2 linked regions of the Drosophila melanogaster genome follow. The protein of the gene in region 1 interacts with the protein of each later gene in a pairwise test. Each region holds a gene or a part of one and is shown on either strand. Other genes may lie near its edges.

What was found.
Region 2: the proteins of CG5466 (region 1) and CG11275 interact in a two-hybrid assay, tested with the Drosophila melanogaster proteins (2 studies listed by BioGRID).

What each region holds. Positions count from the first base shown.
Region 1 is NT_033777.3:20,612,546-20,620,038, reverse strand, and holds the start of CG5466 (uncharacterized protein), read right to left. Parts: upstream 2,157-7,493; 5' UTR 1,949-2,156; coding exon 1,937-1,948; intron 1,825-1,936; coding exon 1,532-1,824; intron 1,476-1,531; coding exon 411-1,475; intron 178-410; coding exon 1-177. Other genes in the region: CG15923 (uncharacterized protein), read left to right, coding at 3,195-3,459, 4,288-5,246, 5,315-6,492, 6,551-6,719, 6,986-7,073, 7,130-7,293, 7,350-7,430.
Region 2 is NT_033778.4:22,175,907-22,183,399, forward strand, and holds CG11275 (uncharacterized protein), read left to right. Parts: upstream 1-3,788; 5' UTR 3,789-4,085; intron 4,086-5,369; coding exon 5,370-6,623; 3' UTR 6,624-6,736; downstream 6,737-7,493. Other genes in the region: Fbxo42 (F-box protein 42), read left to right, coding at 1-851, 909-1,349; CG11170 (uncharacterized protein), read right to left, coding at 1,535-2,581; MED16 (mediator complex subunit 16), read left to right, coding at 7,305-7,493.

The sequences.
Region 1 (7,493 bases):
GAGGGACGTATGTAGGTTTTCATCCGCGACATGTTTCGCATCAGCTCCGCAAAGATGCGCACTATCTTGTCCTGACCCACGGCCAAGTGATCCATTCGATTGGCATCGCCGGTGGCCCAGGCTCCGTTGTGCAGCGCCAGCAGATCCTTATTCGATTCTATTGAGTCCAGATTGGAACTGAAATCGGAAAAGTTAAATGAATTCAATTAAGGGCCTAAAGCAAACATTTAAAAGTGATCAATTTACTTTACATATAGCAAATAATAAATAATATTGTAAACAACCTAATTCGTTACTTATCAAATACATACAATATTTTTTGTTTGTTTTAATAAAAAAATAAGTCTTTGTACACATGTTTTGCCAAGAAAAAGAATTTAAAATAATAATATCTAATAAATCTCACCCACCGCAAGGAGTCGGCGACGTTCTTGTGGGTAATCTGGTCCAACGAGGAATGAGAGGAAGACGAAGAGGATGAGTGTGGCGACTGCGATGGCGGTGGCAAGGGATGGTGTCCGTGATGGGCCTGCGGGCCGGCTGCAGCTCCTCCTGCAGCAGATGTAGTCGTAGCCGCCGGAGTCTGCTGATTGGCGGCGACGGCGGCAGCCACTGCCTGCGATTGCATCAGGCCTTGGATTTGAAGATTGGCGGCTGCAGCCGCAACGGCCATGGGATCAAAGTGCTTTGGATCCAGCTGGGCGAAAACTCGCTGCTTTTCCAGCGGACTGAGGTGGTTGCTAAGCTTCTCTAAATTTTGCTGGGCGAGGACACGGTTTTGCTGTTGGATGAGGGCAGCAGTCAATTGCTGCTGGTGCTTGGCTGCTGCTTGCTGTTGTTGTTGCTGCTGCTGCTGCTGTTGCTGTTGTTGCTGCTGTTGTTGTTGTTGATGATGAGCGGCGGCAGCACTGATCTGGGAGAGCTGCGTCTGGAGAGTGCTCTGCTGCTGCTTGGTCAGGTGCTGCAACTGCGGCGGCACCGGCACCTGGGGCACCTTCGCGCCCGTCGACTTGGACAGATCGATTTCCACGTTCGCCGAACTCGAGCTGCTTGCCACGCTGGAGGTGGATCCGGCTGCGGAGCCTCCTGGCCCAGATCCGGCTGCTCCCCCAGGCGGCAGATGCGCCAAGCGCTGCAGGAACTCGGGAGTGTTTACGCCCGGATACTGCTGCTCCATGAACGGCATGGGCGAAATTCCCATGTGGTTTTTATAGTAGCGACATGCGGGACTTGGGCAGGACTGCACCACCTCGATGATGAACTCTTTCTCCATGCCGAACTGATCCCGACCGATGGTGTACGACTCAATGACTGCCCTCACCGTGGCATCGACACTAAGGTGCAGGCCGTGCGGACCTGACATGTGCTTTAGCATGACCGCATTGGCAAAATGCTCAAAGGGCAAGACAATCTTTCCATTGTCGCGCAGTATTAGCCGTCCCTGGGAGTCCAGGGTTAAGCGGTTGGCCAGGACTCTGCAAACGAGGAAGTTATGAGAACGGATCTGAAAAAACCCACAACCCCTACTTACTGCAGATAGGCGGCGCTGGGCAGCATGGCATTGTCCTTGAGATCGCTGAAGCACTGCAGCAGCTCAGCACTGGGATTCCAGCCTTTGTTCTGCAGATACAGCTGCAGCAGCATGTACAGCTTTTCCGTAACATAGCCCACTCCTGGCATTCCAGCATTTGGCTGCGGCAGCATATCTCCGCCTGCCACGCCCCCGCCACCGGCACCACCACCGGGTCCTTTGGACAGAGCCGCCTTCATGGTCTCAGACAGATCCAATTTGTAGTTATCAGGATAGAAATGCTTGGAGTGCTCCTGCAAGGATCGCAGTGATTAGTTCACACAATCGGAAACAGAGACACCCAAGATCTGAGCTTGAAATCGAGCCCTGCTACCTCCACTGCCACCGCCGTCACCGCCCACTTACCAAATTGTTCATTTTCGTCTGGGACTGCGAATATCTAATCTGTGCGGCGCCAGTGCAGCATCCTGGATTCGAATGACCAACGGTTGCTGTCGGGAATCACTCGTCGGTCGGGGGACGAGACTGGGCTAACTGGCGGCCACGGATCGGGGGAAAAAAACTGTATGTGTCCGCCGCCTAATTGTGTTGTCCTTGCAAGGAAGAAGTGGGGGAGGCCATCAGTGTGACCGTCGCACGTCGCGGCCAAAAGCTCTAAAAACGACAGACAGCTTTATGCCCGACTTTCATATACATAAGCAAATAATTTAACATTTGTTGGCGTATAAACATAAACATAAACATTGTTAATGCGCTTAAAAATTTACTTAAGGCATATAGATATTTTTTTGCAACTGTTTAAGATTTGATTAGTACAGCCAATAGTCTTAGCTTTCGCAGAGCTCAAATTCTAATGCATCTAACTGCCAAATATTCTTTTTTAAGCTAATAAAAAAGTGTGCTTGAAATCTATTTGTTTTTTAAATACAAATATAATGATTAGTATGAGCTTATATTATATTATATCCTATAGCTACCACATTAAAAAAGTTATATTTTAGAAGTGAATTGAAAAAATAAATAATATAGGAAAATAATTGTAAAAGCGATTTAGCTTATTATACAATCTGAATTATTTATTTTTATTTTTTATTTATTATTATCTTACTAATTTAATTTTTGCAAAAACCATTCAAACCCATTTAAAAACGTAGAAGTGCAAAAGAATTGACTATACAAATGGTCTCTTTAGAGAGAATAATTAATTAAGTAACCCAACAAATAATTCCTTTACGTAGGATTTAATTTCTAAAATAGTCCTTGCTAATTTACATACCTACAAATTGTATGCAAAATCCTAAGAAAGTAACTAATAATGATGGCAATCACAATTTTGAGCACGCAAGTGCTGGAATATGAAAGGAAACCCAGCAGGTAAAAAGTCTCGAGGACTCATTACACTTAAGGTGGCCTCCTGGTCAAAGGACATTCGGCCGAGAGGGAGTAAGCACCTGAGCCAACCCTCCGGATAATGGCCATTTTGCATGCGTGCCCGGCGAAAATCGGGGGGTTGGGTAGCTATAGCAACACCACTCCCTCCACGAGTCCACTTGTTTACTTGCCTTCCTGGGCGACTTCCAAATTGCAGCTGCAATCGCTCCAGGGAATTCAGTACCCTTTCGAATATTGAAGAGCGAGCAGCGACTCCTAAAATCAGAACAGGATGAGGATGAGGATGAGGTGCTTCTCCCGGGCTATCAACTGGTGTTGTGCTCTTTTCTGGATCGCCTTACAAATTCCAGTGCCCATCTGCTCGCTGACCACCGCGGCCACAAATCCCTCGCAGCTGCCAACGCCGCACACTTTTCGCTTCCAGAATCCGACGCAGTGCCTCAAGAACGAGTTCTACAACCTCAACCTATTCGACTGTGTGCCCTGCAATGAGGTCGCCGGCGGAGATGGGGTTCAAGGAAAACTGCAACCCGACAGTGAGTGGTAGTATTGATCAAACAGAACCAAAAGGGGTGCCATGTGAAGGGGCAAGGACCTGCATGCTACTCAAGAGAAAGTATTCATTTTCAGCTGCAAAAGAGCTGTAATATTGTATATACCAAATTTAATATTCGGTTATTTAAACATTTTATTGGTTTAAGGTTTTGTCATTGAAAGCGACAAGGCTTTTTGCGATTAATATATTTTTTATAGGTCACAGACCTCGAATACTTAAGATTTATTCACATCAGTATTTGTCACTTAGCACAATTTGCAAACTTCACACAAATTTTATTTTGACGATCTCGAAGAGGAAATACTATAATCAAACAATTTTTAATATTAATATATTAATATATTTTTAATATTTCGAACTAATATAAATTAAACTATTGGTATTCTTAATAGATTTCCTCAACGATTTCCTGTTGTTTGATTTAATAAGTAAAGTATTTGTAATCAGTTATTTAAAATATGTATAAATAGTGCAGATAATAAGGACATTGTTGTGTAAGAAAACTAAAACTCGTTTTAGGGGTATTTATACAAAAAAAAAACAAGATAAACTTTTTAGTTTCGCTTTGAATTGAATTGAAAGTTGTATACTGTTTTTATATATATAATATCTTAAAATGATTGATAATTGTGACAAAATGAATAGATTAGTTTATATACATTTTCAATCCTTGATCATATGATAGATCTATGAATATAGGATATGCATTCGTATGGTTAGAAGAAAGTTTTACTATGTTACTGAAATAAAAGCTTCTTGTTTATTGCCCACCCAGAATTCACCTGCTTCTTGTTTATTGCCCACCCAGAATTCACCTGCAAGTGCCCGGCTGGTCATCTGTCCATCTATGAGCGCGGCAAGACGTGGCCCACCTGCGATGAGATTTGCACTCCGGACAGGAGCGACAATTGCACTTCGGTGTGGCTACCCCAGCCTCGACCTACCAATCAGTGCAGCTATCGGTATCTGAACTCCACGGCAGCCTTCGCCAGTCAGTTGCCAGTGCATCCACTCATTTCCGGCATCATACTGACCCATACAAATCCGATGAGCAGAGCGGGAGATTGCCATTCCTGCGATATGACGCACAATTTCCGGTATCAGGACTTCTGCTTGGCTAGCACCCTGCTCCGACCGTATGTGCACTACAACGCCTTCTGGCAGGCGACAACCACGCCGGATTCAAGTGCACCCAGCCGCTTTGGTGAGCTCAAGTTTGTGGCCTTCTTTTGCCTGACACTGCGCAACGATACCGCCTGCCAGCAACTGGCCAATCTGTGCGTGCTTTCCCATTTCTCCCTGGAAAAGCACTCGCCCTGCAGCGCCTTCCTGCTTACCCAGGTCTCTGATGTGGTCATGAAGTATGCCCACTCCGGCGAACAGGTGCGATCCCTGCAGCCGTTCCTGTTCTACAAGAAGGGTCGGGCTACCAAGGAGCTGCTTTCGAAGACGCTTCAGCTGCCGGATCGCAAGGAGCTGCGCCTTTTTAGCACCACATTTGGTCTAGATGGCGGACTCAAACGGTGGGGTGCCTTTCATCCGGAGATGCTGAACATGTGCCAACAGAAGGCGCCTAGCCTCCGAGTGGCTCTACCCAAGAGGGAGTCGGAGGTATCTTGTCAGCTGACCCTAGAGCGTCTCATTGACCTGGCCAACCAACGGCACAACGCCGAGTTTCTCACCGTGTTTCTAAACTTCAGTAGTAACTGGCAGTATTTGCTTCACCAGTTACCTGTACTCATCGAGACCCTGACGCCGGAAAACCAGGTGAGGAGTGTGATGTACTCAATTAGATAGAACTTAATCTCAGTTCCGTAATTTCTTCATCTGTCCAGCGACCCCAGCAGGAGGAGTGGCAGTTGGTGAAACGTTTCCAGCTGATCTCCGCCTCGCCGCGGGATAGTCATCTTCACCAGACCATGCCGCGCTACGAGGATGCCCACAAGCTGCAGCAATATTACTCCTTACGATATGTGGAGGACATCGAAATTCGTTATACGCTGGACAAGGATCAGCCGGATAGAGTGGGTCTGCCGCTCATTCGCCTGCGATACCGACACATAGAGATGGGATCGGGAAATATATCGCTCTCCCAACTGTACCCATTCACCCTGAGGATTAGCTACGACCAAGTAAAACGTGGTTGGGATTGGTTGATCTTGGAGGTGGCGCTGCCGCTGCTCCTTTTGCTGGCCTTTGCAGCTGCTGTCTTCCGTCTCCAGAATTTGAGAAGAAGGCGGAAGGCGGACCTCTGTCAGATGAGCAGTCTTATGGAATTTCTCCTGCAGCTGGCCGGAAATGTGGCATATGCTCTGCTGGCGACTACTCTGCTGCTCCTACTGCTGCAAGCCTCCAATTCTCGCCTACTGAAAATCCTACTCAATACCGCCTTTGTGCTGCAGTTCCTCTTTCTGGGCATCCACCTGTGGCGCTCCAGCCAGCTGGAACTGTTTCTCATCGACTGGGAAAGACCGCGGAGCAGCTGCGAAGGACAACGCCTGAATCTGGACAGCTCATCTCTCTGCTCTAGCGTGCGCACCTTTGTGGCCGAGAGCAGCGTCTCCGCCTGGCGAGTTCTCTTCACGGCCAATGCCTGGATTCGCCTAAGTGTCACCCAGAAGTACTCCACCTTGGGTCAGGTATTTGTGGTCATCGCTGGCTATCAGTTTCTGGAGAGGTTTACCAAGGGTGACATTTTTCTACGTTGCTGCCTTATAGCGGCAGCTTATCTGCTCACATATCTACTTCAGATAATAGGCCACCAACTGTTTATAGCCAATCCCCTCCAGAAGTTCATCGACCTGTGCAGTCTGGCCAACATCTCTCTGTTCTCACTGACGGAGCCAGGATTTGGTTACTACATCCACGGACGATCTCCGCACGGCTTTGCCGATACGGATATGTCCTCGATGATTTTGCAGCTGCAGAGAACCCAGACCATGTGTGGGCGACGAGGATTGCTAATGGACTCGGACAAGCAGGCGTACGTCATCCTGCCTCCCAGAAACCTTCAGTAAGATTTTGACTTTACTCCAATGAGGATATTGATTATCATAGTGTTTTTACTATAGCATCTACCTGGAGCGACTCCTGCTTCCCTTTCAGCGCAGTCTGACCGGCACCCTTTCGCAGACCATGCTCTACCAAAAGGACATCGTTCCGAGCATCGATGGACAGATGGAACGTACCTCCATTGCGTACGCCAGCGTCAATCGCTTCTTCTGCGCCTTTATCGACCATGTAAGCTTAAAGTCTACCTTAATTGATCCATTGAAGTATGTAACCAGTTAATATGGCCTAGTCGATCAAGCCGAATCCGTCAGTTTGCCCGTATAAGATCTGAGATCTGAGGATCTAAAAAATCGAAAGACTAAGCTTACAGATTCTAGCATTATTAAGAGCTACAGTCTAGAATACCTAGTAACTAATAAATCTCAACTCTTTTTGCTGTTTGTAAGCTCAGTTTTATTCTAAGATGGAATGTTCTCTTTTTATATTTGTGACAGGCTATCAAGGACATGGATTACATTATTAAGGAAAAGTCGTTTGTGGAACAATTGCTGAACTGCGAAATAGACAACTACATCACGGAAAGTGAGTACCCAATTCGAAGTTTCTCTTTTATGTATTAAATCCATTTAAATTTTCAGACAGAGGTACCTTTTACATAGACGACTCGTTCAGCTTCTCTCGCGTTCTCCTCTTGGGTAACCATTTGCACATCTTTGTCCTGGAACTCCTCTTGGTGCTGTCGATCTTCTTGATGACCTCTAATTTGTTAATTGCAGCTGCTGGCGCTTGTGCCCTAAACATAGTAGGATAATGATTCAAAACTGATTAACAAAATAATTAAAAAATAATCCATTTCAGTTACTACGCCAAGTGTTCCGCCATTGGGTGCGAAGGAACATCTCCCGCAAGACCCTCATCGACGAGAGGTTCCTCTTGTAGCCTCAAAACGAGGAGCAATATCTGCGAGAGGATGGATTCTTTGCCATATAAATGATATGCGAG
Region 2 (7,493 bases), on another chromosome or scaffold:
TGAACTCGAACGACACATGGGTACTGGATCTGCCGGAGCAGCGCTGGTGGCAGCCGCTCTTTGTGGGCAACACGCGACCCAGTCCGCGATACGGACAAATACAGGTGGAGTTGGGAAGGAACCATCTGCTGATCGTGGGAGGATGTGGCGGTGCCAATCGCGTGTACACTGATGCCTGGCTGCTGGACATGACCAGGGATGTATGGAGCTGGAAGTCTATTGCTGTGCGCAACAAGCGCTTTGGAGCCGTCCACATGTGGTGCAATCCCGGTTGCAAGGTCAACAACTACCTGGTGGTCGTGGGCCCATCGCCCAACATGCCGCAGGACTTCCAAATGATGAAGCAAAGCAGAGTCCCCGTCGTTGGAGGCCGTGGACCTCCGCCGCCGAATCCTCTTCAAAATGTACCTCCAAGGGGATACCGGATACCAGTTCCGGATCGTCGACTAGGTGGAGGTGGATTGGGTGGACCTGGCCAAAATCGCGGAGGAAACATCCGTCCTGGAGTGGGAGGTGCAGCAGCTGCACTGGGTCCTCAAGAACAGTATTTGGCTAACCGGAGAGCAATTCTTAATCAACACATGCAGCAAGCGCAGCAATTCCTGCACAACAGCAATGTGAACAATAATAACAATAATTACCAACCGCGCTCGGGAAGATTGAGTGATCTGCATGCCCCGCCAGCTGCGGCTGCAGCTGCTTCTCCTCCATCCCCGCCAGTGCGACCAAATGCTCCGCCATCTCCCGCCGACGGCGATGTGGATGCCGCACAGCGTTTGCAAAGAAATTTAGCTCTAAGGTGTCGTGATAATGAACCTAGGCTACCAAAACGTTTCGATGAGCTCTATGAGGTGAGTGATTTTAAGTGCGCCTATCATGGACCTCTTATTTATTTCCTGTTTCAAAAGGATCCCTTTCGAATGGCCGCCTTCAATGTGCCCACACGATCGCGGAGTGCTTCGCGGGATCACAACGAGCGAATACGACGCATGGAGGAGAAGATGAACGCCATTCGCAATTCGCGACGCAGCGCACCGGCGGCCGCCCAAGTGGAACCACAACCGCTGCGCGCACCCTCGCCCAAACGATTGCGCTGCAATGTGCAATCCCTGTTCGTGTGTGACATCTCCGGCATTTTGGACAGCAGCGAACCCGCCCTCGAGTGGGTGGAATACAAAAACTTCGGAGTGCTTAAGGGTGCTCCGGATCGGCTAATCCTCTCGAGCCTCATTGCTGGCAACGGCGAGCTCATCCTCTTCGGGGGCGTGCACAAGGAGACACTAACGGACATCACACATCATGTGTCCAATTCCATACACTTCCTGAGTGTGCCACGTGATATTATCTAAGCTCTGAACCGACGCCCGTCCTAGTCCAACGTTACGCGGATAGCACTTTGTTGCTGGTAACCCCACTTCCCAAATCCTTCAAAGTTCGGCGTAAGAGGTTCATTTAGGCATTAAATTGAGTGTAATGAAGAATATGTTTTATGATTATAAACGATTATTTACTAGTGGATCTCCAACGATTGGCTTTAATTATTGCTTTCCAGCACTTTTATTAGGTCGTAAGCATGTTGGAAACGCATATCACAGAAGTCATCTTGGCATGCTACACACTGCTCCAGGAGCAGCTGCAGCTTTTCGTTGTCCAAATTCTTAAGCAAGTAATCCCTTAGCAAAAGGCACGCCTGGTAGATATTGGCATCCAGCTGATGGCCGGAGCAGAATGCAGAGACATCAAATGTGAATCCCTCGCCGGTCAGCGGCTCGTACTTTTCGGCATGTCCTGCTGCGAACGAAGCGTCCACCAGGACCACGGAGTCCAAATCAATGAGGTACACCTTCTTGGTGTCTTCGTCGTAAGCCAAATTATCGGCCGTGAAATCGGTTAAGATAATGCGAAAGTCCGCGAATCCAAAAGTCAGCTTGAGGGAGAGCTGGATCAACTGGAGAGCCAGCTCCACACGCAAACCTTCTTCAGCATCGACGTAATGAGCTAAAGTACGTCCTGCATTGGATTGAAAATGTGTTAGTCCGCAGGAGGCGTAGGTGGTAGGCACTGGAAATCCCTGCAGATGCAGTTCCTGCATAAGCAGCGGACTAACGTAGTACATCATGTAGAACCACACACTGGCGGCAGCATGTCCACGCTGCTCCAAGTACGAAACAAAGCGGGGTTCCCTTGCCAGAGTTCGGCAGAGATGAAAACCACCAGGTCGCTCCTCTAGTTCATAGAAATCTTTTTTCACATTTTTTATCTGATTACTCTGTGCATCAATGATTTTTCTTTTGGCCACCAGCTGGACTTCCTGATCCCGGTCTTTTAGCCTTAGAAAGTAAATCGCTCGGCGATCAACGAGCAACGAAATGGCTTTCACAAGTCTACTCCAATCCGAGGGCTCTGCAATTTTCTGGAAGATTTCCCCGCACGGCTCACTCTGTCCAACGAAACAGTCTGGACACAAGCGCAGATCCTTCTCGAAAAGTTCCTGGAACACCTCTCGCTGCGGCTTCACCTGCAGCTCCTGCAGCAGGGCCAAAATGAGCACCACTTTCAGTTGGCCGTGTGACAGGTGCATCACAGGGAGCTGCAAAGAGACGGAAGAGAAACGAATGAAGGGGCTTGCCAAACAACAGAAGAAGCCACACGTGTGTGTATCCAAAGAAATGTGCGTGAGGGCCCAGCCTCCAGTCCACTGGCCACATTACCTGTTTGGCAGCTACACGCCAAAAGTGAACCTAAGCACCGAGCCAAAGAGGCAGCTGGTTATGACCGCTTAACGAAGCGTCTATACCCTTTCGCTACATTTAGTTTAATTTGCTATTAAGCTGTATGTATTTTAAGTATGGAATTTCCCTTTTTACTAGTTCCTAAAAGCAATACCAAATGCTTCCATTTATTCTATTATATTTTTTAAGCACGTCTAAGTTATAGATCTTTAATTTAGTCATGATGACAGCTGATTAGATTATGATACCACTATCGCTTTTATCACACCAGCTTCTGGGCTCATGCCGAAATGGTTATCCCACAAGGTCCGAAGAGTATGGCGTCGGGGGGACGGACTTACAGAAATAACTTTGGTTCTGAAGAAGAGCCAATTCAATGGGTTCAAGGTTGGCCATCACGCTGGGAGCAAGAAGCGAATCAGACGCTTAATTTGTAATCTCTGCAGAGGTGGGAGAGTAGCCATTATGGCGATACCAGTCGCATCCTCCAAGACGCACTCCATCTCGCCTTGCCCTGTACTTCAAAATTAAGTGTGCCCAGAATGGACTTGCTCTGTGGCTCATTCTTTGGCGACGACGAGGAGCATAATGACTCGGCTAAAGATTCAGCACCATTGCCCACGACTTCGCCAGTGCCTCAGACTATCAAAAGAAAATCGCGTGTAAGATTTAGCCGCAGCACCATACGAAAACTCCAACTCAACGAACTGGAACAGTTGGGCTCCACAAACGCCTTTTTCAACTTCCTGCTCGCCCAGCGAATTCGGGAATTGGGCTTGGTCGGTCTCAACTACCTGGATGTGTTCAAGTCCCAGCGACTAATTTCGGGGAAACGCATCTGGAACTGCATGTATGAGTTGGCTGAAAGTGTTCGTCAGAACGATATTTAAACCTTTCGGGATAAGAGGAAACTCGATGAAATCGTCTACCAAATGTATTCGTGCGAAAAAAGACCGAAGATCGCTGAGAACGCACTGAGAGATTGGGAGACGCAGCAGAGGAGGAGAGACCTGAAATCGAAATCGCTTGGAGAACGTTTCCCCAAACCGAGTAAGATCAGTTGAAGGTGGCGCGTTGCGCTCGACGGTTGTCGCTATTCTGGTTCTCGCTCAAGTTATCCGAACTCTTGGAACAGCTGGGTAGTCTGGTCTGGCCTGGCGCATAAAGACGCGATATCGGTCAAGTTCAGACGAAGAAGACGACGACGCGGCGATCACTCAATTAGCCTCACCGTGAGGGCGCGTGAAATTCACTTTTAAATTTCCCCCAACTCGATTTTCACATACACAAATTGCTTTTGTTACGATTCTCGCGTGTGCTTGGTTGAAAAGGAATTTGTCACAGTGCCAAAAGGTGTGTGTGTTCTTCTTGGAAATGTCCACTTAGCTCGTAAACTATTCCAATGTTCTAAAAAGCCATAAATTAGCCCTAAGGTCGCACGTGAAACCTTCACCACCTGGGCTAGCCTAACTTTACGCAACTGAGAACAGAGCAGATCGCGATTTGAGGCGAGTCAACAAAGTGCGCAGCAGAAGTCCAGAATATTGATTGACTTTGCAATCAAATTTGCTCAGTTCGAAATTTTCAGAGTCAGGGAATTAGCACTCAGCTTATTTTCGGGCCACATATTGTTTGAAAGCAGCCCATATCCAAGTTCTACATGTGTGTATATATTATTGAGAGTTATTTTGCTTGTCAGTTAGCAGTAATTGGAGGAGGGCACATAAACCACCGTGCTAGCTACCCATAAATTACACATTAGATAACGCCGACATGTGCTCATCGCTGATTTCGAGGGCCCCCATATAAGTCGCGTTAGCCTGAGCCCCACTTGTCCAACTGAGATCTGTACAAACACTTTAAACCGGTTATATACATATAGTACCCGCTGGGAAAACAAATAGCAAACCCAAGCCGGCAATATATGAATAACCAAGCAACTAACCAACCAACCAGCTGGCTGGTAAACAGTCGCGTCGTAGTATTATTTTGGCTTATTGATAAACAAAAGCCTGTCAAGTGTGCGATCGCATATATATATATATATATACAAATGTGTTTATATATTTGCATTCTTGGCCATGACCAAGGAAATCTGATGCATGTCGCGTAAGTGATAATATACAAATCGAATTACGTCACGTTGACTGCAGGCACTCAAACCTCCTTGACTACATATTATTTTTCAAGGGGATTGCGTTATCGGACATTTAAACTTTTCGCTTTGTGGCACACGCCCTTTTAATTAATAGCCATAAAATAGCAAGCGAAATTGGAAGCGTGAAATTTGATTTTTTCTTAAGTGTTACGACTCTTTCAGTTATTTTTAGCTCGAACTAAAAAGAGTTACTAACTGAATAAACATTAAGAATTACCAAGAACGTATTAAACACAGCAAAGACCTGTTTTGGCCAAACATCTATTTTTTCATTTCAACCGAAATCACTAGTTTGCGCACTAACAAAACTTTAGCTATTTCTTTTGATTTTACATCTCGTATCGCTTTCTATTCGCCCGCGCCTGAATAGTTTCTATTATACTTCGAATGATTGATGGCCGCCTATGACACGGGCAAATTGGAAACAGGTTTTCGAATGGCTCATTAATATCTACCACCTTTCTCTGCCCCTTTCGCAGATGAGCATCTCGGCGGTGGATCGCAAAGAGCCGGGCAGTGTGAGCAGCGGTCTGGGTAGGCGATACGGGCAGCTGCTCCGTGGAGCCAAGTACACAGATTGCGTGTTCCACGTGTGCGAGGAGCAAGTGAAATGCCACAAGCTCATCCTGAGCTCCGCCAGTCCCGTTTTCGAGGCAATGTTCTTTGGTCCCATGCAAAACAACGAGCCCGAGCCGGAAATCGAAATCCACGACATAAGCTCTGCCATCTTCAAGGTGCTGGTGGAGTACATCTACACGGGCGTCGTTGACTACAATGGCCTGGAGCTGGTGGCCTGCATTGAGCTGTACTACGCCGCTGAGAAGTATCTGCTGGAGGAGCTGATCGCCGACACGCTGATGGTTATCACCCGCAAGCTGCGATTTGCCAATATCTTGCCCGCTCTAGAGCTAAGTGTTTGCATGGGCCTCGACGGGTTGCTGGAGGTCTGCATGACCTTTTTCATGCGATGCTGTGTTAATAATGGACAGTATATGAGCCACCTTAAGGAGCACTATGTGCACGTGTCCAAGGAGTGTGTGAAGGCCATAATAGCGGCGTGCAAGGAACCGCACAAGTTACTCATCTGGTATGTTTATGAGTGGACACGACAGGAGTGCGAGCAGTTGGGTCTGGGTCCCAGCGATGCCGACTTAGTAGTGCACGACTTGGGTGGCAAAACAAGCGACTGGCCTGCGGCTTCGGGTGCTAGTGATTTGGAATCACCTGCCCTAACTCCGGTGGTTTTGGTGGAGCGCTGCTATTACAAGGCCTGCAGGCCCTTTACAGTGGATGCAGAAACTCCGCTGTTTCGCTTGCGTCTAAAGTGCTCTAGATTTATCTCCTTGATGGGCTTGGTCCTGAACAGCAGGCTGACTCCCAACCTATTGGGTCACGTCCAGCAGCTGGAGTACCGCGAATCGCTGCGGCTGGACCTTTGCGAGGTGCCCGCTGAAAGCGAGGGTCCGGCCACGTCGCCCGTATGGAGTCACGTTGTCCAGAGCCAGAATACCAAGTACAACTGCAACCTGCATCTTGGCTGGCGACGCGAAGAGGCCTGTGTGCTGAATCCGGAGCTGACCTATGAGCTGCAGATCCGCTGGGACAGCAGTGCTTACGGCGCCGAGTATCCGTGCAGCCTGCAGTCCTGCCAGGCGGACGGAATTCGGTTCACTGACGAGGACAGCTTCAGCGGAAGTCTCGTCAAGGGACTGCGCTATGCCAACCTGGTGTAGCCACTTCAGCCGCGATATCATAATTAGTTAGTCCGTAAGACGTGTATGTATTTATTGCCCTAAGTTAATGTACGCTGCCTCAGAGTTCAATAAACTGTGAGTAATATCGCTTCAAACACAAGACGTCTGCTGATAAATATAAAAAGCCGGTTTGCAGCCGTTTTTGTTTGGCGAACGAATCGAACTCGATCGGGGAACGGCGTCCTGGCTGCGAATACGGAAACTTATCTCACCTGTTGTTGCGGCCACTAAAAAAAAAAAATCGGTAAAACAATAAACTATAATATAATCACCAGATGTAAACAAAGCGAAATTGAACGAGGGACAGTGTGGCCAACTGGTCATAATAATTCTTGCTTAAATTGGGGCGACCGTAAAATAATTAACAGTGAGAAACTGGCTATTATTTAATAACTTAATTTTTGTTTAAATGATTAATGATTTAAAGCTGCTGCGCTGTAAAAGCTTTATTTGCTGTTCAGAATTAAAATATTAATGAGCACTATCTTAAATCTAAACATAAAAACCAAACATTTTACAGTAACAATGGAATCAAAAATGCAGTGGAAAAGCGCTAAACACCCGCGAAACAGTGCTGTAAAGTTCTTCACAGAGTAGTGTTGGCAGACGCCGGGTGCAAAACAATAATAGTCCGCTTTGGTTTTTGTTTACGCTGCAAAAATGACGATTTTGTACAAAGTGGAGGGCAAGGAGTTCAGCAAGGACAGCGTTTTTCCGCACAAGAAGGTCCTCTGCTCAGTCTCCGCACGGAACATCGTTGCGTTTAGCGCCCTCCAGAGCGCCATATTTCCGGCTTCCCACGGAGGAGATGCCGGCGATGGATCCTTGCCGGGAGCGGGTTTGGCCGTA